Oryctolagus cuniculus: one gene and its partners. The protein of the gene in region 6 purifies or fractionates together with the protein of the main gene of each other region. This does not show direct contact. Links are inferred from orthologs where the notes say so. Each region holds a gene or a part of one and is shown on either strand. Other genes may lie near its edges. The genes, in order: HSPD1, RPL18, C1QBP, HNRNPA1, HSP90AB1, KRAS and HNRNPA0.

What was found.
Region 1: the proteins of KRAS (region 6) and HSPD1 purify together in Homo sapiens (affinity purification with mass spectrometry; 3 studies listed by BioGRID and IntAct, with this or other methods). This does not show direct contact. The link is inferred for Oryctolagus cuniculus from reciprocal best matches to the Homo sapiens genes KRAS and HSPD1.
Region 2: the proteins of KRAS (region 6) and RPL18 purify together in Homo sapiens (affinity purification with mass spectrometry; 3 studies listed by BioGRID and IntAct, with this or other methods). This does not show direct contact. The link is inferred for Oryctolagus cuniculus from reciprocal best matches to the Homo sapiens genes KRAS and RPL18.
Region 3: the proteins of KRAS (region 6) and C1QBP purify together in Homo sapiens (affinity purification with mass spectrometry; 3 studies listed by BioGRID and IntAct, with this or other methods). This does not show direct contact. The link is inferred for Oryctolagus cuniculus from reciprocal best matches to the Homo sapiens genes KRAS and C1QBP.
Region 4: the proteins of KRAS (region 6) and HNRNPA1 purify together in Homo sapiens (affinity purification with mass spectrometry; 3 studies listed by BioGRID and IntAct, with this or other methods). This does not show direct contact. The link is inferred for Oryctolagus cuniculus from reciprocal best matches to the Homo sapiens genes KRAS and HNRNPA1.
Region 5: the proteins of KRAS (region 6) and HSP90AB1 purify together in Homo sapiens (affinity purification with mass spectrometry; 4 studies listed by BioGRID and IntAct, with this or other methods). This does not show direct contact. The link is inferred for Oryctolagus cuniculus from reciprocal best matches to the Homo sapiens genes KRAS and HSP90AB1.
Region 7: the proteins of KRAS (region 6) and HNRNPA0 purify together in Homo sapiens (affinity purification with mass spectrometry; 3 studies listed by BioGRID and IntAct, with this or other methods). This does not show direct contact. The link is inferred for Oryctolagus cuniculus from reciprocal best matches to the Homo sapiens genes KRAS and HNRNPA0.

What each region holds. Positions count from the first base shown.
Region 1 is NC_091434.1:42,763,491-42,767,529, forward strand, and holds the start of HSPD1 (60 kDa heat shock protein, mitochondrial), read left to right. Parts: upstream 1-1,231; 5' UTR 1,232-1,419; intron 1,420-2,313; 5' UTR 2,314-2,315; coding exon 2,316-2,489; intron 2,490-4,039. Other genes in the region: HSPE1 (10 kDa heat shock protein, mitochondrial), read right to left, coding at 77-241, 773-775. UniProt on the Homo sapiens protein: Chaperonin implicated in mitochondrial protein import and macromolecular assembly. Together with Hsp10, facilitates the correct folding of imported proteins.
Region 2 is NC_091449.1:8,505,554-8,509,653, forward strand, and holds RPL18 (large ribosomal subunit protein eL18), read left to right. Parts: upstream 1-1,277; 5' UTR 1,278-1,498; coding exon 1,499-1,501; intron 1,502-2,351; coding exon 2,352-2,438; intron 2,439-2,523; coding exon 2,524-2,631; intron 2,632-2,728; coding exon 2,729-2,827; intron 2,828-2,915; coding exon 2,916-3,039; intron 3,040-3,124; coding exon 3,125-3,194; intron 3,195-3,280; exon of another isoform or gene 3,281-3,556; intron 3,557-3,578; coding exon 3,579-3,654; 3' UTR 3,655-3,695; downstream 3,696-4,100.
Region 3 is NC_091448.1:50,896,019-50,900,266, forward strand, and holds the start of C1QBP (complement component 1 Q subcomponent-binding protein, mitochondrial), read left to right. Parts: upstream 1-1,441; 5' UTR 1,442-1,529; coding exon 1,530-1,755; intron 1,756-2,042; coding exon 2,043-2,193; intron 2,194-4,248.
Region 4 is NC_091442.1:57,215,965-57,220,056, reverse strand, and holds the start of HNRNPA1 (heterogeneous nuclear ribonucleoprotein A1), read right to left. Parts: upstream 2,828-4,092; 5' UTR 2,702-2,827; coding exon 2,687-2,701; intron 2,125-2,686; coding exon 2,008-2,124; intron 1,785-2,007; coding exon 1,638-1,784; intron 1,504-1,637; coding exon 1,293-1,503; intron 1,203-1,292; coding exon 1,110-1,202; intron 1,032-1,109; coding exon 939-1,031; intron 669-938; coding exon 594-668; intron 386-593; coding exon 233-385; intron 1-232. Other genes in the region: CBX5 (chromobox protein homolog 5), read left to right, coding at 3,180-3,497. UniProt on the Homo sapiens protein: Involved in the packaging of pre-mRNA into hnRNP particles, transport of poly(A) mRNA from the nucleus to the cytoplasm and modulation of splice site selection.
Region 5 is NC_091436.1:125,882,781-125,886,927, reverse strand, and holds the start of HSP90AB1 (heat shock protein HSP 90-beta), read left to right. Parts: upstream 1-1,323; 5' UTR 1,324-1,530; intron 1,531-2,683; coding exon 2,684-2,830; intron 2,831-3,165; coding exon 3,166-3,372; intron 3,373-3,455; coding exon 3,456-3,615; intron 3,616-3,706; coding exon 3,707-3,840; intron 3,841-3,950; coding exon 3,951-4,147. UniProt on the Homo sapiens protein: Molecular chaperone that promotes the maturation, structural maintenance and proper regulation of specific target proteins involved for instance in cell cycle control and signal transduction. Undergoes a functional cycle linked to its ATPase activity.
Region 6 is NC_091440.1:122,550,070-122,554,071, reverse strand, and holds the start of KRAS (GTPase KRas), read left to right. Parts: upstream 1-1,198; 5' UTR 1,199-1,332; intron 1,333-1,953; exon of another isoform or gene 1,954-2,102; intron 2,103-4,002. UniProt on the Homo sapiens protein: Ras proteins bind GDP/GTP and possess intrinsic GTPase activity. Plays an important role in the regulation of cell proliferation.
Region 7 is NC_091437.1:25,591,690-25,595,274, forward strand, and holds HNRNPA0 (heterogeneous nuclear ribonucleoprotein A0), read right to left. Parts: upstream 2,235-3,585; 5' UTR 1,930-2,234; coding exon 1,039-1,929; 3' UTR 525-1,038; downstream 1-524. UniProt on the Homo sapiens protein: mRNA-binding component of ribonucleosomes. Specifically binds AU-rich element (ARE)-containing mRNAs. Involved in post-transcriptional regulation of cytokines mRNAs.

The DNA of each region.
Region 1 (4,039 bases), on a different chromosome or scaffold from region 6:
TTTGCAGTCATTTTCCTTAAAATGACGCAAGTTATTTAAAATACTTTTATAGCTGCATCTGCAGTCCCCAAGTTACCTTTCCTTTAGAGCCTGATCCAACAGCTACTACCGTTGCTTGCAATACTTTTCCTTGAGATTTTTCAGGGAGCATAATGCCTCCTTTGGTTACTGTTTCCGCGGCGCTCCTCTCCACCAAGACCCGGTCAAAGAGCGGAAGAAACTTCCTAAATGCCTGTCCTGCCTGCAGAGAGAAAAACGTTTTATTGAAAACACGCAGGGCCTCCGCAAGCGTTTCATCTCAATCAACTTCGGTTTTCCAGAACACCCACACTAAGGGAACGCATCTGAACGTTCCGCCCTTTGCACCAAGTTTAATATTCCCCACCCTCTGTGTTCGCTGGGGGGTCGTTGTCGCCCCTCTCGCCCACGCGACCTGGTTAACCTTAATTAACTCCAAGGTCATTTTCCTTAAGTTTTTCTGGAAAAGTCAGGGCCACTCCCTCCGCCTGGAGCCGTACTCTTTCTCCTAGATCCTGCACACCCACAAGGGCCCTGCGTGCAGAGGCAGGTGGGCCGCCGCGCTTGTGTGCCCGGGCTCCCGCCCCCCTGCCCCACGCTACTGCGGCACACGCGTGTGCAAGGAGCCCTCGGCGGAGGGGAGGGCCGGCGCGGCCTCGCCTCTGCGGAGGACAGGCGGCCGCTACTCACGGAACGCTCCACTAGCCCTGCAGTCAGGCCCCGCAGGGCGCCCTGCGGGCCACGCGGGACTCACCATGGCCCCAGCGCCGCAGCTTTCGCTCCGCTCTCGCGCCGCTCCAAGGAGAGACCCGCAGCCTGACCCTCGGGACACGTGAAAAGGCCAGGCACCGCGCACGCGCGCTCGGCCCGCACCCGCCCCCGCCCCTCCCCCCGAGAGGGGCGGCCGCCGCAGCGCGCGCCGGGATTCGCCCGGAAGGCGCCGCGCGGCCTGCTGACGCGAGGCCCAGAGGGCGGGATTGAAGAAGAGCTTTTTCTAGGCTTTTCTAGGCCAGCAGGCCGAGGTGAAAGGACAAGCCCACCCCACTGTCCCCCTCCCGGAAATGACGGGGTGTGACCCTTGACCCGCAGAGCGCGCGGCGCTTTCCGGAAAGTTCTGGAAGCGAGCGCGGCCCGGGAACGAGCCTAACTCGGCCGGAGGGGGCTGATCCCGCCGTCCAGGCTCTGCGCGGTGGGGAGGGGCGGGGCGCGGGCGCGGCGCGTGCTGATTGCCGGGCCCCGGGCGACGGGAAGGGGCGGGAGCCGCCGCACACGCGGTGCCGCGGGGCGGGGAGCAGCCGAGGGAGGGGCACAGACTCATTGCCGTGCGCGCCCTGCAGCCTGGCCCTCACTCGCCGCCGACGGCCTGCCTCGCCGCGTGCACTCCGCGCCGCCTCCCCGCAGGTACGCGGCCACTGGGCGCCGCCTGGCCCCGGCTCCTGCGGCCCTGGAGCAGGCCGCCTTCCGCTACGGGCCGGCCTGAGCAGGCCGGCAGGCGACAGCCAGGACTCGGAGGATTGCGAGACGGGGCCCGCTGGGCCAGGCCTCGGGAACCCATGCGGGTTTCATCACGTGCGGCGTGGACTGCGGCCCGGGCCAGGCGCGGGAGGGAAGGAGGGAGGACTGGCCTGGGGACGGGACGGGGGACATCGAGGCCGCTAGGGCCTGCTGGGGTTGCCTGTTCCTGGCTGGGGGTGGTCGCGTCCGCCAGGAACTGCTTTTGGCCGGCGGGCTGCAGGGGTACGGCGCCTCAGCTCTTGACCTTGCTGGGGGCGTCCTGAAAGCAAGGCACGTGGGGCTCGGCTCGCGGAGTCGGGGCCTAGTTAACTGCTCTGATACAGTAGCTTCGGCTGGATACTTGAAGACACTTTCCGCTGAGCGGGTTTTGCGGCTTCAGGAATACTTCCTTAGTGACTCGGATTTGTAGACCGCCTCTCTTCTCGCTCTCTCCCCTCCCCCCACCCCACTCCCACCGATTGGTCTTTGCAGGGATACAATTGGAGCGATTCTACTCTGTAGGCCATTGTAGCGGTGAAAAATTAACTCGTTTTTGGAGGCAGGAGTAGGCGGCCATGGGGTAGCAGCTGCGTGTGCCTTGTGCTATAGGTCAGGCAAGGGGGCGGCCTCTTAGCTTGCGCCGATTGCTGGGGTTCCGAGGCTGCGTGGCCGGGGGTTAGTGGCTGGCAGAGGTCGACCTGGTTCACACCTAACCTTGCTTGATCTGGTGTGAGGGTGGGCATATTTGCTGCGACGCGCGGATTGGCGTGGTACTGATCGTGTACTTGTTTTCTCCTGCAGAAATGCTTCGATTACCCACAGTCCTTCGCCAGATGAGGCCAGTGTCCAGGGCACTGGCTCCTCATCTCACTCGGGCTTACGCCAAAGACGTAAAATTTGGTGCAGATGCCCGAGCTTTAATGCTTCAAGGTGTAGACCTTTTAGCCGATGCTGTAGCCGTGACAATGGGGCCAAAGGTATCAGTATTATTTGGTTTTAATTACGTATTAGTAATTAAGGAATACTGTTTTACTGATTAAGGAATAGTCACGTAGAACTATTTACCAGTGCTTTGGTATTCACTTTTTGAGAGAATCTAGTTTTTATGTATAGTTCTTTATTATTGTGTGTATTGTGTGATGTAACTGGGTAGTAACTCACAGCTTAAGGTGAACACTTAGTACAGTTAATTTCGCTTGTGTCCTTGCATCACATTCATGGATCTTTTCCCAGTAGTGGCATGTATTGGGGGGAAATACAGGTTGTGTCCAATAATACCTCAGATAAGTATTTGCAGGTGATAATTTTTAAAAGATTTGTCTGAAAGGCAGTGTGACCGATCTCATCTGCTGGTTCACTCCTCAAATGCTCACAACAGCCAGAACTGTGCCAGGCAGGAACTCAACCTCTGCTCCCTAATTTTTCATTACCATTTTTTAGCACACAGTTAAGGAACAGTAAATGCATTGATCTTGTTGGCAATCATAGCCACCATGTATCATCTTGGAAAACTAACTCTACCCATTCCCCCCTTCCTTGTAGGTACTAATTTGCCCAGTACTTTTCTGCTGCTCTCCTGTTCCAAAGCATATTTAAAATTTTTTTGAGGTGGCTGTAGTACAGATGAGTACAGTTTTCAAATTGAAAACAGTTCAAATATCAAAGTGACCTAAACAACTGTAAAAATAGGCCATTTGTACAGCTCAAAAATAGAAGGTAGCAGTTTTGGTGCAAATCCAAAAGGTACAGAAACATATATGCTATGTTTGGGATTCCTACAGTTTTATTTGTGGGATACCATTATGGTGTAGCCATTTAAGCTGTAGCTTGTGATGTCTACATCCCGTGTCCCAGTGCTGGTTTGAATCTCAGTTACTCTGCCTCCTATTCTATTAACTCCCTGCTAATGTTTCTGGGAAGGCAGTGGAAGATGGCCTAGGTAATTGCCAACTGTATGGGAGATCGGAATGGAGTTCTTAGCTCCATATGTGGCTTTTGCAGCCATTTGGTGAATGAACCATTATTGGATGGAAGATCTCCTAATCTCTCCATTTTTCTCTGTCGTTTTGCCTTTAAAAAAAGTAAATTTTCTTTTAAAAGATTTGTTTGAAAGGCACAGAGAGATTTTCCATTCAACGGTTCACTCCCCAAATGGCTGCAATGGCCAGAACCAGGAACCAGGAGCTTCTTCCAGGTCTTCCACATAGGTGCAGGGACCATCCTCCACTTTATTTTCGGAAGTGGAAGACTTCTGTGGCTCACTTGGTTAATCCTCCGCCTGCAGTGCCGGCATCCCATATGGGCGCCGGATTCTAGTCCCGGTTTCTCCTCTTCCAATCCAGCTCTCTGCTGTGGCCCGGGAGGGCAGTGGAGGATGGCCTAGGTAATTGTTTGCCTGCACCCGCATGGAAGACCAGGAAGCACCTGGCTCCTGGCTTCGGGGCTTTGGATCGGCGTAGCTCTGGCGTGGCAGCCATTTGGGGAGTGAACCAATGAAAGGAAGACCTTTCTCTCTGTCTCTCTCACT
Region 2 (4,100 bases), on a different chromosome or scaffold from region 6:
ACTCACCTGGTCCCGCGCTCCTCTGAGGCGGGGTGTCCATGCATCTGCACGGCCTCGGCTCGGCTACATCAGCGGGGCCTCAGCCCTGCGTGCGGGGCCAGGGCGAGGAGTGGCGGTCACCGTTCTGGCCTGGCCTTTGCTCTGTGGAGAAGAGGTGAGTGAGCAGCTTGCAGGCAGCCGGACCCGACGGGCCAGCTTCGTCACCGCCCCGACCCGTTCCTCTGGTCCCAGAAAGGAAACGATAATAACAGGTGTGTGAAAGAGCCGTTATTAGGTGCGAAGCATTCGACCCCAGCGCTTTTATGAACATATATAATCCTGGCAGACAGCGAGCCCATTGTCAGCCCTTTCTTGCAGACAAAGAAAGCCAGGCTCCCAGACTTGCCCAAGGTCACGCCGTCACTAGGCAGCAGAGCCAGGATTTAAAAGGGGCAAGCCCGAGTCTCCGCATTCTTGTATTATTCTCCTGGGGTCTCCATCCCCCGCCCCCGCGCCCCCTCCCCTCTGCATCTATCTCTGTCTCCATCCCTGCAGGCCGCTGCCCCCGCCCCTGCGGGGCCGGTTCACGCATCCCCGTCCCCCCCACACCCTGCACGCCGCCACCCCCTCCCCTGCGGGGACTCTGCACGCCGCCGCCCCCTCCCTGCGGGGCCGGTTCACGCATCCCCCCTCCCTGACCCTGCACGCCGCCGCCCCCTCCCCTGCGGGGCCGGTTCACGCATCCCCCCTCCCCGACCCTGCACGCCGGGGCCTCGCTCTGCGCCCTCTCCGCCTTCCAGTACCCTGCGCATCCCTCACACCGAAGCCGCCGGCCCGGCTGGACTCTGTGGCTTGCAGACAGACGGCCCCCGGCGGCGGAGGCCGAGGAGGGAGACAGGCACGGGCCCTCTCGGGGTGGGGGCAAGGCTGCGGGGACAGCGTGCTCCAGACGGAGCTGCAGCGACAAGGAATCGGGACAGATCTCAAGTAGGACTTCCCGAGCGGCGGCGGCGGCGCACGGGCAGAGGTGAAGCTGATAAGGAAACGCCCGAGGCGTGAAGTCACAAGTTTCCGGAGGCCAGGCCCGACCCGGCCCCGCCGGCCCCGCCTCCGCACCGCCGCGGCTCGGCCCGCCCGGTCCTCCGGCAGCCACCGAGAGGCCGTCAATGTCGGGCCAGAGCGTCCCCCTAGCGGCACACATCTCTCTCGGCTCCCAGCGCGCTTTCTTCCGGAAGGCTACCGAGAGCAAGGGCTGGGTAGGGCTAGAGAGGCCCCGACGCATCGGCCCTTCTCTCCCTGACGTCGCCCCTGTTCCTCTGTGGTTGTTTCTCCGCCCTAGCCCGTTGTCGCCCACGCAGCTGGTCCTCCGACGCGCCACAAAGAGGCCTCGGTCGTGCTAGAGCGGCGCGGCGCGCTCCTGTGACGTCACACGCGCGCCGCTCGCTGAAGGCTTTCCACACCCATTCCGGTGCTTCTCTGTCTCTCTCTTTCCGGACGGGGCCGGGCAGGAGTCGCCATCATGGTGAGTGAGTTTTGCGGAGAGCTGGGTGCTTCTCCATCCGCCGCCATCTGCCACAGTCTCGGGCTTGGGGCATGCGGGAGAGAGGCGGGGGGTCCGCGGGGGTGTCCAAGGAGCGGCTCCGAGGCCATGGGGCTCGGAGGGACTCCGGAGGCCAGCGCTGGGTCAGAGCCACTCTGGCCGGCTTCCTTCGGAGCCCGCTGCTCCCCGTGCTGAGGTTCGGGGAGTCCTAAGTGATGTGACCGTGGTCACGGGAGGTGGCGGAGACTCCGGACCCAGGCGGCTGACCCCCCAACCCGTCCGCGCCGACTTAGTCTTTGGTCCCCACGACCCAGATCGTCCGTCACCCTGCTCTGCTGCGGGGTCTTGGGGACGGGGAGGCCCTGTGGGTGCTGTGCCTGCAGCGGCTTCATCTATGGGCACCGTGACCCCCAGCGCCGCTGCGGACGGCGGGGAGTGGTCGCCACTTGGGTAGGGCAGGCGCTGGCCCGACGGGGCGCTGCGGTGGCTCCTTTCACCATGAACGCGCTGGAAAACCGAGTTACCCGGGACAAAGCAGGGGGTGCCGTCGTGCACGTCGTGGGCGCTGCGAGGGCCGCACACCAGCTCGGGCCCGACTGCACGCGGGGTCTCGCAGTGTTGACGTTACCGCAGAACACGGCTTGGAGGCAGTTAAATCCCCCTTAGCGTCGCGGGGTACGGCCGCCGCACGCACACGTGTCTCCCGGGGGGACCTGGGGTTTGCGCTGTTGTCCCAGAGTGGGGGGGCCCGGCCCGGCCGCCGCTGAGCGTGGGGGGGCGTGGTGGTTCCTGCGCAGAGTGGGGCCCGTGGTCACCGTCCCCCCCCCCCCAGGGAGTCGACATTCGCCACAACAAGGACAGGAAGGTTCGGCGCAAGGAGCCCAAGAGCCAGGACATCTACCTGCGGCTGCTGGTCAAGGTGAGCGGGAGCTGCGGCCGCGGCGTGGGCAGCCCCCGCGCGGGCGCGGGCCGGGCCGGGCCTCACCTGCCGCCCCTCTCTGCAGCTGTACAGGTTCCTGGCCAGACGCACCAACTCCACGTTCAACCAGGTGGTGCTGAAGAGGCTGTTCATGAGCCGCACCAACCGGCCGCCGCTGTCCCTGTCGCGGATGGTGCGTGGCCGCGGCGCGGGCGGGGGCGGGGGAGGGGGAGGGCCGCCCGGGGCGGGGGCGGGGCCTGACGCCCCCTCTGCGCCCCTCTCCCCTGGAGATCCGGAAGATGAAGCTTCCCGGGCGGGAGAACAAGACCGCCGTGGTGGTGGGCACCGTCACCGATGACGTGCGCGTCCAGGAGGTGCCCAAGCTGAAGGTGAGCCTGGGGCCTGGCCACGCCCCGGAGGGCGCCCCCCACGGGCCGGCGCTGGCTCGGCTCTGACCCCGCCCGCCCCGTGCCCCAGGTGTGCGCCCTGCGCGTGACCAGCCGTGCCCGCAGCCGCATCCTCAAGGCCGGGGGCAAGATCCTCACCTTCGACCAGCTGGCCCTGGACTCCCCCAAGGGCCGCGGCACGGTCCTGCTCTCCGGTGAGTGCCGCCGCCCGCCCGCCCGCGCGGGGCTCCCTGGGGAGGGGCGTGTCCCTGTCTGATCCCGCTCGTGTCGCACCCCCAGGTCCCCGCAAGGGCCGTGAGGTGTACCGGCATTTCGGCAAGGCCCCCGGAACCCCACACAGTCACACCAAGTGAGTGTCGGCCCCGGCGGCTGGGCAGCGCCTGGCTCACGGTGGGGGCGGGCTCTTGGAAGTTCCAGAAAGAGGGGGAGACAGACCTTCACCCGCTGGCTGCAGCAGTCCGGGCTGGGGCTCCATCCGGGTCTCCCACGCGGGTGCAGGGGCCCGGGCACTTGGGCCGTCTCCTGCTGCTTTCCCAGGGCATAGCAGGGAGCTGGAGCGGAAGTGGAGCAGCCGGCACTGGAACTGGCGCCCACGTGGGGTGCTGGGCTGTCGTACGGGGGCGTTGGCTGGGAGCTGGGTGTGAAGTGGGACGCCCTCCATGCGGGGGCAGGGCCGGCTCTAGTGGTCCGGGCGCCCCTGCTGCCCTCTCACCCTCCCCCCCTCTCCCCACAGACCCTACGTGCGCTCCAAGGGCAGGAAGTTCGAGCGCGCCAGAGGCAGACGGGCCAGCCGGGGCTACAAGAACTAACCCTGCGCACCGCGCTGTTAATAAAGATTTTTGGACGCCGACGTCTGTGTGTGTGTGTGTGTTGGGAGGGGGGACGGTGGAAGGCCCTGGCCCGGCCCCAGGCTGCACCACCTGCTCCCGGAGCCCCGCCTCTCCTCCCGGAGTCTGTCCAGTTGGCCACGCCCACCCTGGCACTAAGCACTGTTGGGGCGAGGACCAGGAAGTGCAGGGGGCAGGGTGTGTGGGCAGGTGAGGCGCAGCCGGCGCTGGTGGCCATTGGCCGCGGGCGGGCGCCCCGGGAGCTGCACCCCAGGACCTGCGGGCCCACCCCGTTTGCACAAGGGGCTGGGCTGCCCCGGGCGAGGCCTGCTGAGGCCACAGCAGGAGGAATGGCGGGAGGGCTCCGGCCCCCTGTGCTCCGTGCGCACTGAAAAGGCAAGGAGGGAGGGGGATAGCCGGCCGGGGCC
Region 3 (4,248 bases), on a different chromosome or scaffold from region 6:
AAGCACCCGAGAAGTTTCCAGAGACTCATGTTCTTCTCCGGGGGGCAGAGGATGCAAACAGCTTCTAAGTAGCTTTCATGTTTCAGTACAGAAATATGTTTACCCCTGTAACACTGAGGTAGTTTTTAATATAGTATTTAGTTTTCTATTGGGCTTTTAAGGAAGTTATTTTTTTATCATAGCTGCTCAGGGATGAATCCAGGTTGGAAAGCCCACCCTAGCTCCACGTCACTAACACAGAAATAAGACCTGTCTGTCGAGCTGCAGGGGATGCTACACCTTAAACTTAGCGCTTTCACAGTGACACTGCACCATAGCCCCGAGCTACCCTTTCCCACCTCCTCTGAGCGGCTGTGTGCAAACAGTGTCCTCAAGCAGGCGGCGTGGGGCGTGGCTCAGGCGGCTGTCCTGCTTACATCATCACAGAGGGTGAAACGTGGGGTAGGGCACCTTTCCTTACAAGGGCGAGGACCCCAATCCCTGTCCTTGATAAAAAGCTTTCATGCTGCAAACCTGCTGACTGGGAAGGAGATGCCAGATGAGGACAAGGTTTTGCTCGGGGAGGGAAATTGCACTGTGATACCTAAATCCTCCGTCCACTACGGATGTGGCCATGCATCTCTGACACCAGTGCTTTAGCATAAGAGAAAGCACGGGCCCCGTGGGCGAGAATGTTATGTTGTATTTCATAAGAATATTGTAACCTGCAGAGAAATCCCGAGGGAGGGAAAAAATCAGGTTGGCTCAGGCGTACGTTGTATTTTGAGTCTTAAATAAAGCTATGAAAAGATCAACTCCTGTGTATATATATAATGCTCACATTCGCACCTGACTAGCAAGTGTCCATTGAGAACAAGTCTTGTACATGATGCATGTCCCTTCTTTCTTGTGTGTCCTTGCCCTTATTCACAGAAAGCTGTTTTGAAAATATTAAGTATTAGCCTTACGATTGCCACAAAGCTAGGGAGACATTTTCTTGGTACCTTCCACACCCTGGCGAGTGCAGAACCAGATGTTAGCCATGGCTTCTGGCTCCCGGCAAAATGACTTTGCCTGAGAACTTGGATGCAAGGCCGGAGGGAGCAGGTGAAGCCAGTCACGAGAGGTTAACCATGGGCACCGCGCCTCGCGCCTCTGGGTCTCACCTGGCTGCAGTGAGGGGAGTCAGCCAGGCAAGCGAGCAAAGCCAGGGCTTGATGCACACGAGAGAGCAGAGAAGGCCTGCGAGAGGTGTGCTGCCGTCGAGTGTGGAGGACGTGTGCAAGCCTGGCGCGCTCTGAGAATTAACCACAAAGCTCTGCGCACCAGACCCCAACACACTCCCGGGGCGGTCCAGGAATCCGGATTCGAGGCTGCACCGGCGGTCCCCGGCAGAGGGCGCCATCCGGCCCGCGGTGCCTTCGGTCTTTGGAGCGCCGGCGGCGGGAGACGCTTCCGGGCGAGGGCGGGCTTCCGGCGGCGGGAGGTCACTTGGGCGCTTTGGCCCGGGTCGTCCGTCGCCGCCGCACGTGTCTGACGCCGTCCGCGCGATGCTACCGCTGCTTCGCTGCGTGCCCCGCGCCCTGGGCCCCGCCGTCGCCGGCCTCCGCGCCGCGGCCCCGGCCCCGCCGCTCCGGCCGCTGCTGCTGCCCGCGCCCCGGCCTTGCGCCCGGCCGTTCGGGCTGCTCAGCGTGCGCGCGGGCTCGGTGCGGCGGCCCGGCCTCCTGCGGGCTCGCGAGCCCTGCTCCTGCGGCTGCGGCGCGCTGCACACGGAGGGTGAGGGGCTCGCGCGTGGCGTGGGGGACCTGATTCCCGACGGCGACTGACAGCACCGCTCCCCGGCTCCCCCGGCCCCGGGTGCGGTTTGGGGGGTGGGGTGCTGCGGCGCTCGTGACGGAATTGGCTTCTCCGGGCGAGCGGATGCAGCTGCCCGCTTCCAGGCCGGATAGCGTTGGGGAGGCGAGGCGGATGCCGGGCAGAGGGCGGCGGTCCCCGGGTCCCCGGGTCCCCGGGTCCCTGTCGGGTGCTTGGCGCTCCTTGACGTCTCCGCGATTCCTCCCCAGGAGATAAAGCCTTTGTGGATTTCCTTACCGACGAGATTAAGGAGGAGAAGAAAATCCAGAAGCATAAAGCCCTTCCCAAGATGTCTGGAGGCTGGGAGCTGGAGGTGAACGGCACAGAGGCTAAACTCGTGCGCAAAGTGGCCGGGGAGAAGTAAGTGCACGGCGCGCCCCGGGGTGCGCGGCGTGGGGCGGCCTCTGGCTCGGGACCCTAAGCTCGCTGGAGCCACATGTCAGCCACCCCGTGTGACTTCACAGCGGGACCCTTCCGCAGCCGCCCTGTCCCTTCTTCCCCCTCCGGCCCCTTGAAACCGCCAAGCTGCCTTCTCTGGATTTGCCTGTGTGGGACATTTTGTGTGAGTGGGAGTCATGCAATATGTGGCCATTTGTGTCTACCTCCCCCCCCCCCCCCAAGATTGATTTATTGGCTTGAAAGGTAGAGTTAGAGACGTCTTCCATCCACCCCAACAGCCAGAGCTGGGCCAAGCTGGAGCCAGGAGCCAGGCAGCAGGCACTTTTTCCATGTCCTCCCACGTGGGTGCAAGGGTCCAACACTTGGGCCAGCTTTTTTTTTTTTTTTTTTTAAGATTAATTTATTTGAGAGGCAGAGAGTAAGAGAATTACAGAGAGAAGGTTACAGAGAGGCGTCTGAGCAGGGAGCTGGATCCAAAGCAGAGCAGCCTATGGGTGCCAGCGTTGTAGGCAGCAGCTTAGCCAGCTGTGCCACAACACTGTCACCCCCGCACCCCCGTTGTTTTTGAGGTTCATTCATACTAGTAATAGCATGTACCAATAGTTAGCTTTTTTAATGACAACATAATATTTCATTATGTGGATATGCTAGATTTTATTTATGTAAGGAAATGGGAGACAGACCAGAGGAGACAAGATACGAAGTCAACGGCCAAAATCAATTAAGAAGAAAAATGGGAGCCAGCGCTGTGGCATAGCACGCTAAGCTGCCACCTGCGGTGCCTGCATCCCATATGGGTGCCGGTTCAAGTCTTGGCTGCTCCACTTCTGACCCAGCGCCCTGTTTCTGCTCCTGGGAAAGCAGCGGAAAATGGCTCAAGTGCTTGGGTCCCTGCACCCACATGGGAGGCCTGGAAGAAGTTCCTGGTTTCCATCTGGCCATTGTAGCCATTTGGGGAGTGAACCAGCAGATGGAAGATCTCTTTCTAACTCTGTCTTTCAAATACAATAAATAAATCATAAAGGAAAAAAAAAAAGACAAGTGAATTTGCAAAGATGGCCAACCACTGGCATGCGCACAGACAGAACACGTGGCCGAGAGAGCAGGAATTTATTTACGGGCTGGATTTAAATAGCATAGGCCTGATAAGGGCCATGAGGTGCAGTGGAGCTGAGCTAGCTTTTCTATGGAATGCAGAATGCAGAGGGTAGGGTGGGCAACAGTACAGGGCGTAGGACTGAGCTGGTCTCTTGAAGGAAGGTAAAGGGTCCCTCAGGCAAAGAGCCACAATGCCTGAGGCTCATGTCCTTGTTCTGTCAGTTATCCATTCATTTGTTGGCAGGCATTTGACAGGGTTCTATTTACTTTGTGATTCTGGTTTTTTATTTATTTATTTTTTTAATTTTATTTATCTGACAGATAGTTATAGACAGAGACAGAGAGAAAGGTTTTCCTTCCGTTGGTTCACCCCCCAAATGGCTGCTACGGCCGGCGCTGCGCCAGTCCGAAGGCAGGAGCCAGGTGCTTCTCCTGGTCTCCCATGGGGTGCAGGGCCCAAGCACTTGGGCCATCCTTCACTGCCTTCCCGGGCCACAGCAGAGAGCTGGCCTGGAAGAAGGGCAACTGGGACAGAATCTGGCGCCCCGACCGGGACTAGAACCCGGTGTGCCAGGCGCCGCAATGCAGAGGATTAGCCTATTGAGCCACAGCGCCGGCCTTTACTGTCGTTTTGAAAGACAGATAGCTCCCATGTGCTACTTCACTCCCTAAATATTGAAATGTCCAGGTATAGGCTACGCTGGAGCTGGGAGCTGAATCCAGGTTACCAGGTTATTGCCTTAAAGGTGGGCTTTAGATATTCTGGGTGCAGTTCCCCTTATCAGACACAGGGTGTGCAAGTGTTTTCTCCCATCCTTGGGTGTTTTTTTCCTTTCCCTATGTTATTGGTATTGACATACACTTTTTTTAGTTATTGTTTGACTACACCAAGTGAACTATTTTTTTAAAGATTTATTT
Region 4 (4,092 bases), on a different chromosome or scaffold from region 6:
CTAACTCACTCACATCACAGACACCACTACCCGCTTAGCATCTACTTATTTGGGAGTGAGGCGGCCCCAGCTTAAAGCTAGGAGGAGGTAGCACAGCAAGCTCATTTCCTTTTAATATACCATGCAGTGTACCACACAATGCTTTAAGAGCTTCCAATCGCAATATGGGCATTAAAATGCTAAAACACTAATCTAGCTATCAGACCAAGTACTTGGATCACTCGATACCTACCACTACCACCGCCAAAGCCGCCTCCGCCGTTGTTATAGCTGTCATAGCTGCCACTCCCGCCATAGCCACTGCCCTGGTTTCCATAACCCTGTCCACCACTTCCATAGCCTCTGCTTCCTCCAGAGTAACCAGGGCCGCCTCCTCCATAACCACCTATAAGAATACAATTCTTCTCAATAAGACAAAAGTATTTAACAATCAAAATCGGTTCAAGTGTAATGGCTAAAGGCCTGCGCAAAGCATGCTTATTATGGGTTCAGTTGAGCTTATCATGCACTAGCAGTTAACAGTTTCTATCATCCTAATCTAGTAACACAAGTTGCCAGAAACATTTTTACCTATGTATTCTTTAAAGACTTACCGTCATTACCAAATCCATTGTAACCATCCCCACTGCCACCATAACCACCTCCACCGCGGCTGCCGCCGAAGCCACCTGGAAGAAAGCAAACACGTGCAGCAGGTTTAGAGCATATGAATTGCGTGGTACGCTCTGGAAGCGCTCCCTGCACTGTGACAACGATTGGCACACCGGAGTAACTTCTGGTTAGTTACAGGCCAGAGCTGCATTTTAGATAAAACTTAACTTCGGAAACGTAGGCCATTTGTTATATGCTACTACAGGTTACAGAAAAAAAAGGGACAAGTCATCTAGGGTCAAGAAACCACAAGCTCTCTAGAGTTAACCTTAGCTAACCATACATACCACGACCACTGAAGTTTCCTCCACGACCAAAGTTGTCATTGCCACCAAAACCACCTCCACGACCACCACCAAAGTTTCCAGAACCACTTCGACCTTGAGAGATAAGTGTTAAACCATACAGATTGGAAAAACTCAAAGTTACCTTAACGTCCGACTAAGCAATAGACATACCTCTCGGGGTGGACGAAGCGCTGGCCATCTCCTGCTTCGACAGGGCCTTCCTCACTTCACAGTTGTGGCCGTTCACAGTGTGGTATTTCTGAACTGAAATTTGATGACAAACAGCCCGGGGTTAGAGTGGAATGCCACGTGCGTTGCAGAAAGCCCGCAAAGTGCCTGGGATCTGATACTCACTGACAATCTTATCCACGGAGTCATGGTCGTCGAAGGTCACAAAAGCAAAGCCCCTCTTCTTGCCACTGCCTCGATCAGTCATGATCTCAATCACCTCGATTTTCCCGTACTGCTCAAAGTAATCTCGGAGGTGATGCTCTTCAGTGTCTTCTTTAATGCCACCCACGAAGATCTTTTTCACAGTGAGGTGGGCACCTGGTCTTTGGGAATCCTACCGAGCCGAGAACCACGAGTTACTCTAAATGGCAAAATCTGTGTCCTTTATCAAGTACTTGAAAGGGTCCAGATGGCTCCCCAATGGCAAGCCTATTACCACAACCGATGGGGGTTTGGGGGCCCACTTACTTCTCTCGACACAGCCCTCTTTGGTTCCACAACTCTTCCATCCACTTTGTGTGGCCTTGCGTTCATGGCCGCATCCACCTCCTCCACGGTGGCGTAGGTGACAAACCCAAAGCCCCTGGAGCGCTTGGTGTTCGGGTCTCTCATTACCTGGAGACAGCGTTAATTTGCTTATTACAAGGCCCGGGCCCGTAGGAGGTTATAGGGCGGTCCTCCTGTTCCCCGCTCCCGCAACTTCCAAAAAGCAGGCCGAAGAGCCACAAACGAGCCATTCCTAACTCAGAACTCAGGCCCCGTTAGGATCTTAAGCCCTCGCACAGAATCTGCAGGAACAGCCGCCGACGCCCCGCCTCCCGGCCCTCCCCAGTCTTACCACGCAGTCCGTGAGCGTGCCCCATTGCTCAAAATGGCTCCTCAGGCTCTCATCGGTCGTCTCAAAGCTCAGCCCTCCGATGAAGAGCTTCCGCAGCTGCTCGGGCTCCTTGGGCGACTGGGCGGGAGAGCAAAATTGGTTTTTCTCTTGTAAATTCGGGCTACCACACGACCCCGTTTCCACGCGGGGGGTGGGGAACACAACTCGGCCCCCACAAAGGCGGCACTTTTTGTTCGCTCCGGTCCAAAGCGGGCCACGTGCTCCCCCTCATCAGGGGAGGCGGCCCGTTGGGGGCTGGGGAGCCTCCAGCGCATGCGCCGCTCCGCTCCCTCCAGACGCACGCGCGCAACAAAAGGTCCGCGCGGGAGGGGGACATCGCCGTGAGGGGCATCAAGGCTTTTTTAAAACCCGCTCGCCGGGACAAAATTGAACCTAAATCGCCATATGGCTAACGATTTTGCCCCGACGCCGACCCCGGAGTGATTATCGAGGGGCTAGCGGCCCGCAACCTCATGGCGACGACGAGGACAAAATGGCGACTTGAACTTTGGGAGGGGTAGGCCTTGGCCGCGACCGAGCAAACTGCCGAAAAGGTTGCTGCGGGCAAAGAAACCGCCCCTACTGGACTCGAAGAGGGAGACGAGGGGGAGAACTACGTTAGAAAAGGGGAGCTCCTCACCTCTGACTTCGACATGACGGCGGTGGGAAGAGAGAACTCGACGATGCTTCCTCGGCGGCGTCCGCAAGCAGAAAGGAGTAAGCCAACGAACGTATCCGCCAGCCTACCTTCGGCCTCGCTTTTTTATCCCGCCTCCTCGCTTTCGACATTGGCAGACTCCACCCCTGCCTCGCTCTGATTGGACATTTGAAATCGCTTCCCTCTACTATTGGTGTATGGCGCCGCACTGCTGCGTACGTCACCGTTAGGGCGTTCTGCGCAGTCTCCACCCCTCGGACCCCATTGGTCCTCGAGCAATCTTATTCTTAGCCAGCCTGATTGGCTAACTGAACAATCATTCATTTTTGAACGTACTTCGCCTGTCTAAACGTTTTTTTTTCATTCTACTAGTCCAAATTATATATCCTATTTGTTTGGTAAAGCATTATTAACACCAAGCAGCAGAAAAGTAGTTAGATGTGACGGTTTTTTTCAACAACCGCCTGTTGAGCGCATGTGTAGTAAAATGGCGATCTTGCGCATGCGCATTATAGAGTTCCGCTCGCCGCTTGAAACACGTGAAATGGCGGGCGGGAGAAGGCGGTTAACCTACGGCGCCTGCGTAGTGGCGGGAGTTGCGCGCTGCTTTGCGCAGGCGTTGTGGGCGGAGAAAGGGTCCGGGCCCAGGATTGGTTGCGCAGGCGCAGGGAAGGATCCGTTTTGGCGGGCGGTTGGCGTTGCGCAGAAGGCAGCAGCAGCGGTGGCTTGTGGTGCGGCCTCAGCACAGAGGAACGGGGCAGACGTTAGGGTGTGTGATCACTCTCGATCCCGGGTAAGTGGCAGAGAGTCTTGTCTACCTGTACAAGGCCTTGGACCGGCTCCAGTTGGGCCCGTTATTGTGTGAAATGAATGGACCGTGGGGTGGGGGGATAGTCAAGGGGCAGCGGTGGGTTGGGCCAACCAATAGAAGAACAGGGGGCGGGATATTCCATCCCTGTAGGTTGTGTGGAGCTGTGCCGCCGAGGCGTTTGACTGGCGCGTGTCTAGGCCAATTGGGTCTACCTCGAGCTGCCGACTGATCGGCCTTTGGGCCATCGGAATGTGGGAGGCGGGTTTTCCCTTCCTGAGCAGCGTCCCGCCGAGCCAATGAGCGCGAAGCGCGCGGTAGGTTGGGCTTCTCCGAGGGGCCGTGGGTTTGACTCCAGCGGGGAAGGCGGGAGTTGGGCCCTCAAGTGGATGGACCAAATCTGGAGCCAGTAGGCGGGCGGCCCAAGGAAGCCTCTCGGACAGGTCGTCCAATAGGCTCTCCAGGACGGGGAGGTCTTCGATTTGGTGGGAAAGGGTGGGGAGGAAGGAGATTCAATGGTCGTGATGGCGTGCGGGGGTGGGTTTTTCCCCCCTACGACTTCTGCGAAGCCCCCCGCCCG
Region 5 (4,147 bases), on a different chromosome or scaffold from region 6:
CCCGACGCCTCCCCCACCCCATTCACTTCCCCCAGCCACAGGCTTCTCACAGACCGCGGTGAAAGGGACAAGGACATGGAGAGAGACCCTTGGCCCAGTGACGGCCGGGACGACCACGTGGACAGCGCAAAGAAAAGAAGGGTCCTCCTTTGTTCTCTGGAAGCCAGCATGCGGCCAAAGCTGGTTAAGGAGGGGGAACCGGGTGCCGGGGCTGGCCGGCTGGGGAGCACGGAGCAGGGCGTGGCCAGGGTCTCCTGGGAAGGACGCGGGTCCAGCAGACTTTCAGGGGACCCTTGGGAAAGGCAGGTCCGCCGGCAGCCGGAAGGCAGGCAAAGGGTCCAAATTGGGCCAGGCGGGCGCGACCCGCGGCTCCCTGGGCTGCCGCATGGCCGAGGGTCGCAAAGGAACTTGGTTCCCACGGGGCAGGCGACCACCGGCAGGGGTCCCTGGAGACCCTCCCCTCCCCCTGCCCCCGCAGCTAGAGACGCGAACGAGGGCGTAAAATCCGAAACCAGCTTGGGAAATAGCTTGAGGTGACCCTGTAAGCAGGGCGCCTCAACCAGTGTTTAGGGATTGGGGGGCTGCCGCGAAGGCTCGGGAAGGGATGGGCACCCCCAGTCTCGGCTTGGATGGAGGCGCCCGAAAAACATTTCCGCTGCCCGAGGTGTGCGGCCGGCGGGAGAGGCGGAGGGCCAGGTGCCCCTCAGCGGCGGGGCAGTGCCGCGCTCCGGGGGCGGACGAGGCGGGTAGCAGGGCCGAGCAGCGGCAGCCCACCCGCTCCGCCCAGGGGTCGGCCCGAGCTGCAGTACCTACACTGCCCGGGCCGCAGCGCGAGGGGAGGAGCCTCGAGGGGAGGCGGCGGCGGGGGCGGGGCCGCCGAGACTGGCCTGGAAACTGCTGGAAGTGGCCGCAGCACCGCTGCCGCCGCTCCTTCCGCCGCACGCCAGCAAAGAGTCCCCTCCCTCCCGGGCCGGCGCCCCTCCCCCGCCCCAGGGGGCTGCAGGCAGCTGGGCCGTTCGCCGGGAGGAGGGGGGATATATGTGGCAGATCCTAGTTAGACGACTGGGTGGGAGTGACTACCTCTGCTCGCTTCAAGTCCCCGTCGGCTCGGCCTCCTGGTTGTGGGAGGGCTTTTGGGGGAGCCGGTGGGGTCCTCGCTCGCAGATCCACTGTTGAGGCATATGAGCACTCTCAGTCCCTAATCGTGGCAGGGGTCACGCCCTGGCCGTGCAGAGAACAGGAGCTCACGAGCCCACACCGAGGCTGGCGGCTCTGGCTCTTCCCCGCCCGCCCCCTATTCCGGACCATGACGTCAAGGTGGGCGGGCGCCGGCAGGTGCGGGGCTCGCGGGCGTCCGCCTTTAAGGCGGAGGGATCCGGGGGAGGCGGCTGGGCTGTGCTTCGCCTTATATAGGCTGGCTGGGGGCTCCCAAGAGCTCTCTTGAGTCACCCCCGCGCTGCCTCGTGCCGTGTGCGGTTGGCAGTCCGGGCCCTCCGTGCTCTCTCGTGCTCGCAGCCCTTTCCCTTCAAGGTAAGGCAGCCGCGTCCCTGCAGGCCGTTCCCCCGCGGGTGCTGTCGCTGCGCAGCTCGGGAGCCAGACGCCGCGGTGCGGGGCGGCCCGTGGGTCCCCGCGCGCTCGGGCTGCGGGGGTGGTGCGTGGAGGCTTTCCAGCGTCCGGTCGGCCTGCACCGGCGCGCCGGGCCGGCGGCGCGGGGCCGCGGCGGGGGCCGGCTGCACGTGGTGGCCGCGCCGGCCCGGGGCGCTGCCATGTTTGCCCCTCCACTTCCGGACGCGGCTACGAGGGCCGCGAGGCGGCCGGGTCCGCGCGCGGGTGACTCAGCACTGCGCGCCTGGGTTGCCGCTGCTGCTCGGCCCTCGAGGTCCGTGCGGGACCCGCCGCGGGCAGAAACGCATTTGGCGTGTGGCAGGTCTTTTCCGCAGCCCTCGAGTGGGAGGGGACAGGCTCTGGAAGATTCATAGGCTCCCTCCCCCGCCCCTCCCCGAGCGCGGAGATTGTTCTCGAAGCTTCTGGAGCCCGATGCTCCGCCCCAGTGCCCGGATGCTGGGGCGATGGCGAGGCGCGCTGTGGCGCCCCCTTCTCGCGGGGCTGCGGCCGACGCATGTCCGGCAGTGACGAGGGTCGGTCCGCGGCCCCGGGCACCATTTTACTTGGGTGCGAGCAGGTGCTGGGGCGTCACGGGGCAGCCTTCGCCTGCTCTGTTCTTTGTCCCGCGTGGACTGCCCCGCGAGCCGGTTACCGCTGTTTCTCGGGTGTCAGTGTGCCCTGCCGCGTGGGGCTGCGATCGGGCCTTGGGCGCATCCACACTACAGGGGTAGAAGAGCTGCCTACGGGCGAGCAGTTTGAGAATAAAACCAGCGCCCACATCAAAGAGACGTGTGGTCAGTGATGCTGGCGTTTGAACGTGGGGCGGGAGTCCCTTGTCTGGGTTGGGACCAGCGTGGTGAGCGGCTGCTGGTCACCCCTGCTCCATGCTACCTGCTTGTCTGGTTGAGGAGGGCTTTGCTCTTGACCTGACTCGGTGGTTGTTAGTATTCACCCCACAGGTTTTAAGAAAGGGCGTGTCTTCAGTAACCCCGCCCAAAGCAGTTTAAACACCATCTGAATTTCAGAAGCGTCAGTTCTGGGGCCGCTACCTTCCTGATTCTTGACCCTCCTGTTCCAGATGCCCGAGGAAGTGCACCATGGAGAGGAGGAGGTGGAGACTTTCGCCTTCCAGGCGGAAATTGCCCAACTCATGTCTCTCATCATCAACACCTTCTACTCCAACAAGGAAATCTTCCTGCGGGAGCTGATCTCCAACGCGTCTGATGTGAGTTCCTTCGTGTTTCATGGCTGGCTGGGCTCCTCCCGAAGGGGGAAAACTGATTGCTATTGAAGGGGTTTGTCCGGGTGCTCCCTGGACGAGCGGGCCAGTGTGACCACGCGGCTCCTAGTCCAGTGAGGCCCAAGGTTCTCACTTCCAGGGGTATTTCAAGGACGCAATTTTCTGTTACCATTAAATGGCACGTTTATTACTCACTCTAAGAGTTCACAGTTCGTGTAGGATGATGGGGCAGTCAGAGTTACAGCGTGAGAGTAGCAATCCAAGAGGTTCCTAACGCTGAAGAGACGGCTAAGAAATCCGCTGTTGGTGCTGCCTTGCAGGCCCTGGACAAGATCCGCTATGAGAGCCTGACGGACCCCTCCAAGCTGGACAGCGGCAAAGAGCTGAAGATCGACATCATCCCGAGCCCCCAGGACCGCACGCTGACGCTGGTGGACACCGGCATTGGCATGACCAAGGCCGATCTCATCAACAACTTGGGGACCATCGCCAAGTCGGGGACTAAAGCCTTCATGGAGGCTCTGCAGGTAGGTGGCAGCCAGCCCTCGACGTGCGGCCGGGCCTCTGTTCTCTGCAGGACACGAGTCTGACCGTTCCCGCTTCTCTGCAGGCTGGTGCCGACATCTCCATGATCGGGCAGTTCGGCGTCGGTTTCTATTCTGCCTACCTGGTGGCCGAGAAGGTGGTCGTGATCACAAAGCACAACGATGACGAGCAGTATGCCTGGGAGTCTTCTGCTGGGGGCTCCTTCACCGTGCGCGCCGACCACGGTGAGTGGCCGGGAGGCGCTGCTTCACAGGGCGAGTGTGCAGCAGGCGGTCCTGGGGCAGCTCGCTCACCGCCTGCCCTCCTGGTCTGCAGGGGAGCCTATTGGCCGAGGCACCAAGGTGATCCTGCATCTCAAGGAGGACCAGACTGAGTACCTGGAGGAGAGGCGGGTCAAGGAGGTGGTGAAGAAGCACTCGCAGTTCATAGGCTACCCCATCACCCTCTACGTGAGTATGCTTCCCGCGGAGGCAGCCTGCCTGTGCTTCTGGTGGGCTGGGCCATTTGCTTGCCCTGAGGGTCGGTGCTCAAAACTGACGAGTGTTTCTGGGTGCTTTAGTTGGAGAAGGAAAGAGAAAAGGAAATCAGTGATGATGAAGCAGAGGAAGAAAAAGGGGAAGAGAAAAAGGAGGAGGAAGATAAGGAGGACGATGAGAAGCCCAAGATCGAAGATGTGGGCTCCGATGAGGAAGATGACAGCGGCAAGGACAAGAAAAAGAAAACCAAGAAGATCAAGGAGAAGTACATCGATCAGGA
Region 6 (4,002 bases):
ATGATTAAATAAGATGATATGTGCAAAACATTTTGCCAACACTTGACACGGAGTAGGCACAGCCTTTTCCCTTCCCCGTCTTCCACCTGTCTCTTCTGCCTCCCACCTGGTGCTGGGAGAGGGAGGCTGGAATAAAAGTCGTGCAGATTAAAGCCCATACACGCAGAGAAAGAAAACGGCGATCGCTGATGTCAAGCCTTGGTTAGCAGACATAATGGCTGGGATCTAAAATAACCGAATTGCTGGTCTGTGGTGTGGGCTGGAGGGACAGCACTGGAAGCAGAGGGCCTGCTTAATTCCTCCAGCTCTCCCAGGGGCCTTTGCAGGTAGACTCCGGGCTCGCTAAGGCGTTTAATCGCCCCCATTGTTTCATGTCTGACCTCCTTAGCTCATTACCCAGCCTCCTAATGAACCTTGGAGCGGCTCTCCGCCAGTCTAAACTGCCCTGGGTACTTGCACCGAAAAAGAGTTCGCCTTCCGCTCGGGCTCCGGGGGCACCGGGGACCTCGGAGACCCTTCCTCGGAGACTGTGCACTGGCTTCGAAGCCCCAGAGACACAGCAAACCAACCCGGATCCCCAGGACCAAGACAGGGTCTGTGGCGGCCGTTCGGGCGGCGATCACGAAGCCCCGGGCCTCTCCCGAAGCCACCACTGTCGCCTCCCACGTTTGGCGACTGCCTGTTCACGGACGTGCAGGTGACGACACGAAAGGGCTGTGCTGGACCCTGCGGGGGTCCCCGGGGCTCCTCGGTGTGGACGCGGGCAGGGCGCGCCGACGTCTCAGGGGTCCGACCCTGCCGCGCGGGTCCCACAGCCGCTCCTTCCCGCCCAGGCGCCGCCCGCCCCGCCGCCCCGCCGCCCCGCCGCCCCGCCGCCCCCTCCCCCGCGGGGCCAGCCTCCGCCCCGCCTCCCCGGCGGCGCGCGCGGCCTCCCTCTCAGCCCTCTTCCCACACCGCCCTCAGCCGCTCCCTCCTCAGCGCCGGTCTGGAGAGGAATCGAGCGTGGAACACATCGATAGCTCTGCCCTCTGCGGCCGCCCGGCCCCGAACTCATCGGTGTGCTCGGAGCTCGATTTCCCCGGCGGAGGCAGCAGCGGCAGCAGCAGCAGCAGCGGCGGCTGTGGCGGCGGCGGCGGCGGCGGCGGCGGTGGTGGCGGCGGTGGTGGTAGTGGCGGCGGCGACGGCGGCGGCGGCGGCGGCGGCAGCAGCGGTGGCGGCTGCTCGGCCAGGACTCCCGGCCCCCGCCATTTCGGACTGGGAGCGATTGCGGCGCGGGCCCTGAGGGCTGCGGCGGGGGCCTGAGGCTCGGCGGCTCCCAGGTGCAGGGGAGAGGTAAGGGAGCGGACCACCCCTCCCGGGCCCCTCTGCCCGGGTCTCGACCCTCAGCGCCGGGCGCGGCCGGCGGCGGGCGAATGAATTAGGGGGTCCCGGGAGGAGCCTGGAGGCGGCGGGGGGCGCGCGCGGGCGTCCGCGGTGGCGGGGGGGGGGTCGCGGCGACGCGGGGGGAATGAGGCATGGGCGGTGCGGGGCTGAGGAGGGTGAGGCTAGCGGCGGCCGCCGCTGGTGCAGCTTCCTGGACGGGGAACCCCTTCCTTCCTCCTCCTCGCCGAGAGCCGCGGCGGGAGGCGGCCGGGCGCGGTGGAGGTGACTCCCGCCGCGCTCGGCCTCCCCTCCCCCTCCCCTCCCGCTCGCCGGGGCCCCGGCTCCCGCACCCCTCTGCCCCGCTCCCCGGCGCTGGCTGGGCGGCCGCCGGCTGCATCTCCGGGGCACGCCGCCGCACTTGCCCCGGGAGCGCAGGCTGGCGCGGGGGAGAGGTCCCGGCGGCGGGGCGGCGCGGCGCGGGGCGTGCGGGGCGTGCGGGTCGGGCGGGGGGCGTCCCCGGCCTGCACGCGCTCCGAGACCGCTGCCGGAGGTTATTGTGCAGCAAGAACTGCCCCTGCCCGCCGAGTTCCTGGCGGCTCCCCTCCCCCCCCCCGTGTGAGCTGTGACATTGCCGTGGTCACAAAGGAGGAGGTGGTGATGGTGGTGGAAGAACAGGTGGCCCACGCCCTCCACGTAGAGCCGGGGGCCCGCGGCGGAAAGGAAAAAGTTAATCCCAGAAGGTCTGTTTTGCTTTGTCGGGTGAAAAAAAACGGCGAGGAAACCCGCCGAGCAGAAGCTGGGCTTTTTTTTTTTTTTTTTTTTCCTGGCCAGTGCAGTAGTAGACCCCGGTAGCTCTCATAGTACTTGAAGTTGAATTTGCCTGTGCTTGGCGCTTGCTTTGGCTCGTCTTGGCTGCCCTTCTCCCTATCCCAGGAGTTACCGCAGTACTCCTAAAAAGCAATTAAAAAAAAAAAAAAACTGACTCACGCCAGGAGTTCATTGTAGTAACCGGCCCCCTGTAAACTCTCAGGTCCTTAGAGCTGGAGGCCCAGGCCAGCTGGCTTGAACCTTCAGAACAAGAGGTTAACAGCAGAGGGCTTTGCGGGTTATACGGCTGGGCTAGACCTTGATTTTTCAAAGTCTGTTGGTGGTCAGGGCCTCAGAAATAACCGTGTGGCCGGTGTCACTCTCAGGTCCCCAGTGCTGACTCCGACGTGGGATAGGCTGTGCACATCAAAAATGGTCGCTGTCTGCACTGTTGGATTTGAGGCTGGCCCCATCCACGAGCGTGTTTCCTGCGCCGAGGTGGTGGATGGCAGTTCCGTGGGGTCTAGTCCCACTTTCACCGCTTGCTAGCTGCTGTAATTTTGGGCAAGCGGCCTCTTCTGGCCTGTGATCTTCCATCAGTAAGACTCTGTGGAGACCTACCTAGTTCTTTCTAAAGGGTCTAAATATTACTTGGATTGAGAAAGTGATTTAGTAATTTTTTTTTGTGCTAGAAACAACCACTGCATAAACACATAGACCAAAAGGTGTGTGTTTCTGAATTCACACATATGTATATAACTAAACTGTAATCTATCTGTTCACAGTACCTCCTGGGTCAGCACATTTCTTGGCCATAAGGATCCCTTTACCACTCATACAAATATTGAGGATATCAAAAATTGTTGTATCAGGAGGTATTGTCAATATTTACTGCATTGGAAATTAAACTGAGAATTTTAAAAATCTGGGAATTCATTTAGACATAGAAATAATAAGCTCATTACTTGGTAACATGAATAAATGTTTTATTGAAAACTATTTTCCAGATCATAACCAAAAATAAGTAAGAATGGAGCTGTTTCACACTTTAATAAATCCTTTAATTATGTGGCTTAATGGAACACATCTGAATTCTCCTATCTGCCTCTCCATTCAGTTCATTGTGATTATAGGTCTGGAAAACTCTGCTGTACACTCGTGAAAGAATGCGATTGAAAAGGACAAATAACATTTTAGTGTCGTAATGAAAATAGTTTCCACCTCTTAGGCCTTAAAAGAAGTCTTGGGAACCTGGGGGGTTCCGCGGCCCACATTTTCAGAACAGCTCTTTGGGGCCGGCCAGTCTGCTGTGGGCATTGAGGTGGCAGGGAGCTAGAGAAAACATTTTGGTGGGATTCTCTTTGGTGGGATCCCTTCTGCAGGTTGCCTACATCTGGGAGAAGACTGGGCAAGCAGAGTAAGAGATGTGAGGTAGCTTTCAGTTCTGTCCTAGATACACAGTGAGCAGAGGCTGGGAGGTGTACGAAGATACCCATGCTACTCACACAGTGTTGTAGCTTCTGGCACTCTCTGGGAGGGGCTCAAGAGCAAGGTGAGGAGGTCAATGTGGTATTTGGAAACCTGGTGAGCATTCTCTGGGGGTCAGTGGGGTGTAATGTTTGGGATGTTTCTTGGCCTTCAGGAAATAGAATAGTACATGTATTTTGTTTAATCTACAGTATATACATGTGAATCTGGAACTGCTTACCCTATTAAAAAATCATTGTAAATTTATTGCCATTTCTGCACTGTACTTCTTATTTGTAATAACTTGTTACGTAAGGGAAAGGAGATAAAATTAACTATATTATTTGAAAAAGTTCAAACAGTCAA
Region 7 (3,585 bases), on a different chromosome or scaffold from region 6:
CAGTTCAGATATAGACGGGAAAAAAAGGATTAAACCTGCTCAGAAAATACAAAAACGCATTTAGTGTGAGGGTAAAACATAACCCTTATTTGTAACCATTCATTAAACACAAATCAGTAAGAGGGATGAAACTCAGCCATCTGAAAAATTTTAAACAGTTTGTATGAATGAGAACACATGCGTAACACAAACTACTTCTTTAGAACTACACAGTACATACTTTGAAGTAAAGTCTCATAGAAAGAAGTGACCAACTATGTCAAGATGCTAAGTAAATCACTCAGTACAAGCGATGGATGCACATAAATTAAGATTTTAAAGAGTCACATCCACCACTTCAAGTTTTGCCTGAAAGGGATAAACTTCAACATGTCACTAGCAGAGCAACGGGGGAGGATAAAAACACAGAACCTCTGAAAAGCTTTTCTAAGTACACATCCAGAATTACACACACACAAAATCTTAAAACCAATATCCCTTAAATAGGTACGGAATGGATCCTAGAAAAAAAAATGTTAGACATGTACGGTCAAACACAATGATTTATTAAAAATAAAACGTAAAAATGATTTTTGTACATATGCTTCCAAATTTCAGGCATGGGATCCAAGTAGATCATAGAAAACGCTGTAGCCAGGTATCAAGTCCTTACAACAAAGTAAACTACTCCCCCTCCCAAACACCCGCCCGGGTTTTGCTACAGAATGAGCAAATTCACTCCCTCCCCCCCAAAAAACACAAATTAAAACAAGACATCTTGCTAGTATAAAAACGACCAAGTTCCAAGTAATAATAAAAAAATAGAGTCCATCAATGACTGTAACACAAAAATGTAGGGGGGGGGGTCTAGTCCATCTTCAGAGGGAGGGTCGAGAGGTGCCAGGTAAACAGGGGGACACTCCCAAGGGTAAGCAGCCTCAGCGGCTCCCCCAAGGGCAAAATGGGGAAGGCGGTGGAGGAGTACGGGCCTCAGGAGTGGACCCCACTCGGCATGTTTCAGGGCCGCCCCTGCAGCCGCTCCCAGGCATTTCCAGCTTCTCAGAAGGAGCCGCCTCCGTAGCCGCCCCCACCGCCGTAGCCGCCTCTGTAAGGTCCGCTGTTACTGCGACCGCCCCAGCCGCCGCCGCCGCTCTTCATGGGCCCGTACGAAGACTGGTGCTGGCTGTAGCTGCCGAAGCCGCCGAAGCCGTTACCGTAGTCGCTGCCCCCGTACGACGAGCCGCCCCCGCCGCCGCCGTAGCCCCCGTAGCCGCCCCCGCCGTAGCCCCCGTAGCTGTTGTAGCCGCCGCCGCCGCCCTTGGCCAGGCCGTTCTGGTCTCGCCCCCCGCCGCGCCCCCGGCCGCCCCGGCCGCCCCGGGACGACCGGGAGCCGCCGCCGCCCCCGCCGGAGTGGATGTCCTCCTTGGGGACGGCCTTCTTCACCTCCACGCGATGGCCCTGGATGGGATGGAACTTGACCACCGCGGCCTTATCCGCCGCGTCGTGGTTCTGAAAATACACGAAGCCGAAGCCGCGCTTCTTGCCCGACTGCTTGTCGGCGATGATCTCGGCCTTTTCCACGGCGCCGAACTGCGAGAAGTGCTCGATCAGGTCGCCCTCGGCCACGTCTCCCTTCAGGCCCCCGACAAAGAGCTTCTTCACCTTGGCGTGGGCACCGGGCCGCGCCGAATCCTCGCGGGACACGGCCCGCTTCAGCTCCACCGTGTTGCCGTCCACGGCATGCGGCGACGCGGCCATGGCGGCATCCGCCTCCTCCACATTCGAGTAGGTCACGAAGCCAAAGCACCGGGAGCGCTTCGTCTGGGGGTTCACCACCACCACGCAGTCCGTCAAGGTCCCAAAGGCCTCGAAGTGGCCGCGCAGGCCCGACTCACTCGTCTGCACGTTGAGGCCACCGATGAAGAGCTTACACAGCTGGGAATTCTCCATCTCCACGGCCCGGGCCTTGCCCCCGCCCCGCGAGCCCCGAGGTTTCGCCGTCGCCGTTATCTGTCGCCGAGGCTTCTTCACAACTGGGGCCCAGCCGTCGCTGGAGCCGCCCCCGCCGGACACCGGCGGGGAAGGGGAGGGGAGGGGAGGGAAGGAGAAGAGGAGGGGGAGGGAGGGGAGCGGTGCGGGCGAGGAGGGCGCGCCGGGGAGACGGGCGAGCACCCAAGGCCGCCCCTGCCGCCACCGCCGCCACCTCCGCTCCCCTATCTGGGCACCACACAAAGAGGCCGCTGAACGCGCGCGTACCCTCCCCGCGGCGTGCGTCACCACCGACGCACGGTAGCCTAGGGCCGCCCGCCAATCCCCGCCTCGCTCCTCTTGGTCCCGCCTACCGCGCCGCAGCGCCGGGCTCAACCACAGACTCCGCGCCCGCCGCGGTCTATTCAAGCCCTCGGCCCCGGCGGGCGCGCCCACGCCTGCTGCTGTCCATCTGTCACTGCCGGGCGCCTCGGCGCGCCCTGGCAACGGACCTGCCCTGCCCTCCGCGACCCTCCGCAGTTCATTTCCGAGCAGCCCCCGGCTGTTCCCAGTGACTCTCCCCCTCCCCTTCCCCTATCCCCTCGCCCCGCTCCGCAGTGGCGTTCGCGCCAGCCCCTTGAGAGGCGTGTGAGTGCAGCCAATCGCCGCAACCCCACGCACCCACTTCCGTTCTCGGCAGCTGCTGGACGGGCGCGCCCCCAGTGCGCGCTTGCCCGGGCGCCCCCGGAGTGCGGGGCGGCCGCCACCTGCACGCCTCCTCCCGCTCCGGGCTGGGCGGGGCATGGGCTGGGGGCCTCGCTGGGGGCCGTTCCCAACGGCTACTGCCTGGGGCGCCACGCGCGGGCGCTTTGAAAACTTAACTGCTGGGGTTCGGGGCCGGGGTTTACCCGCCGCGTCTCGGCCGGGCGGCTACACCTGGCGGCCACGCCCCTCCTCTCGCCCCCGTAAAGATGGAGGGCGGAGGACCGGTCCAGGGAGGCGGTTGGTAACGGTTACCAGTGGGCCGGGCGCGTGGCTGAACCAAAACTTGAACACGTGGCGTAGTAATGCGCAAAAGCGAGTCCGAGGCGGTGTGAAAGATAACAGGGTGCGAAAACCTCACGCCGAGGCGGGGCTCCGCCACATCTAACGTCCCACCCGCTCCGCACACTCCTGCAGACATTTTCACTTACCTCAGGATACACTCATAACTTAAGTCATCTGTGCGCTGCCCCCTTCCAACTCACGTTTTGGCTTTTTCCAGACGTTTTATATCAAACCAAGAATAGCTGAGCATTGTATTCGCAAAGAGCCCGTCTGCACACCTGATGCCTGCCTTTAAGTGCCCTCCGCAGGCCAAAACTTTGAACTGTTTGAACCTTTGTGGCCAAACAAGATGCCTAGACTGGGACGTGGCACTAGGACACCAAGAGCCTCCCAAACCAGGTGGTTATTACTGAAGAAGCTCAGAGTGATTCCTCGCTGTTTCCTCGAGTATTGGGGAAGGATTTGGGAAAGAGGTTAAAGTTGTACTGGATCTGGGAGACGAAGACTAGATAAGATTTCTGCAGGAAACTTGCGCTTCAGGGGGCAATGGGTGAATCCGTTTGAGCAGAGCAGGCAGTAGGATAGAAAAGA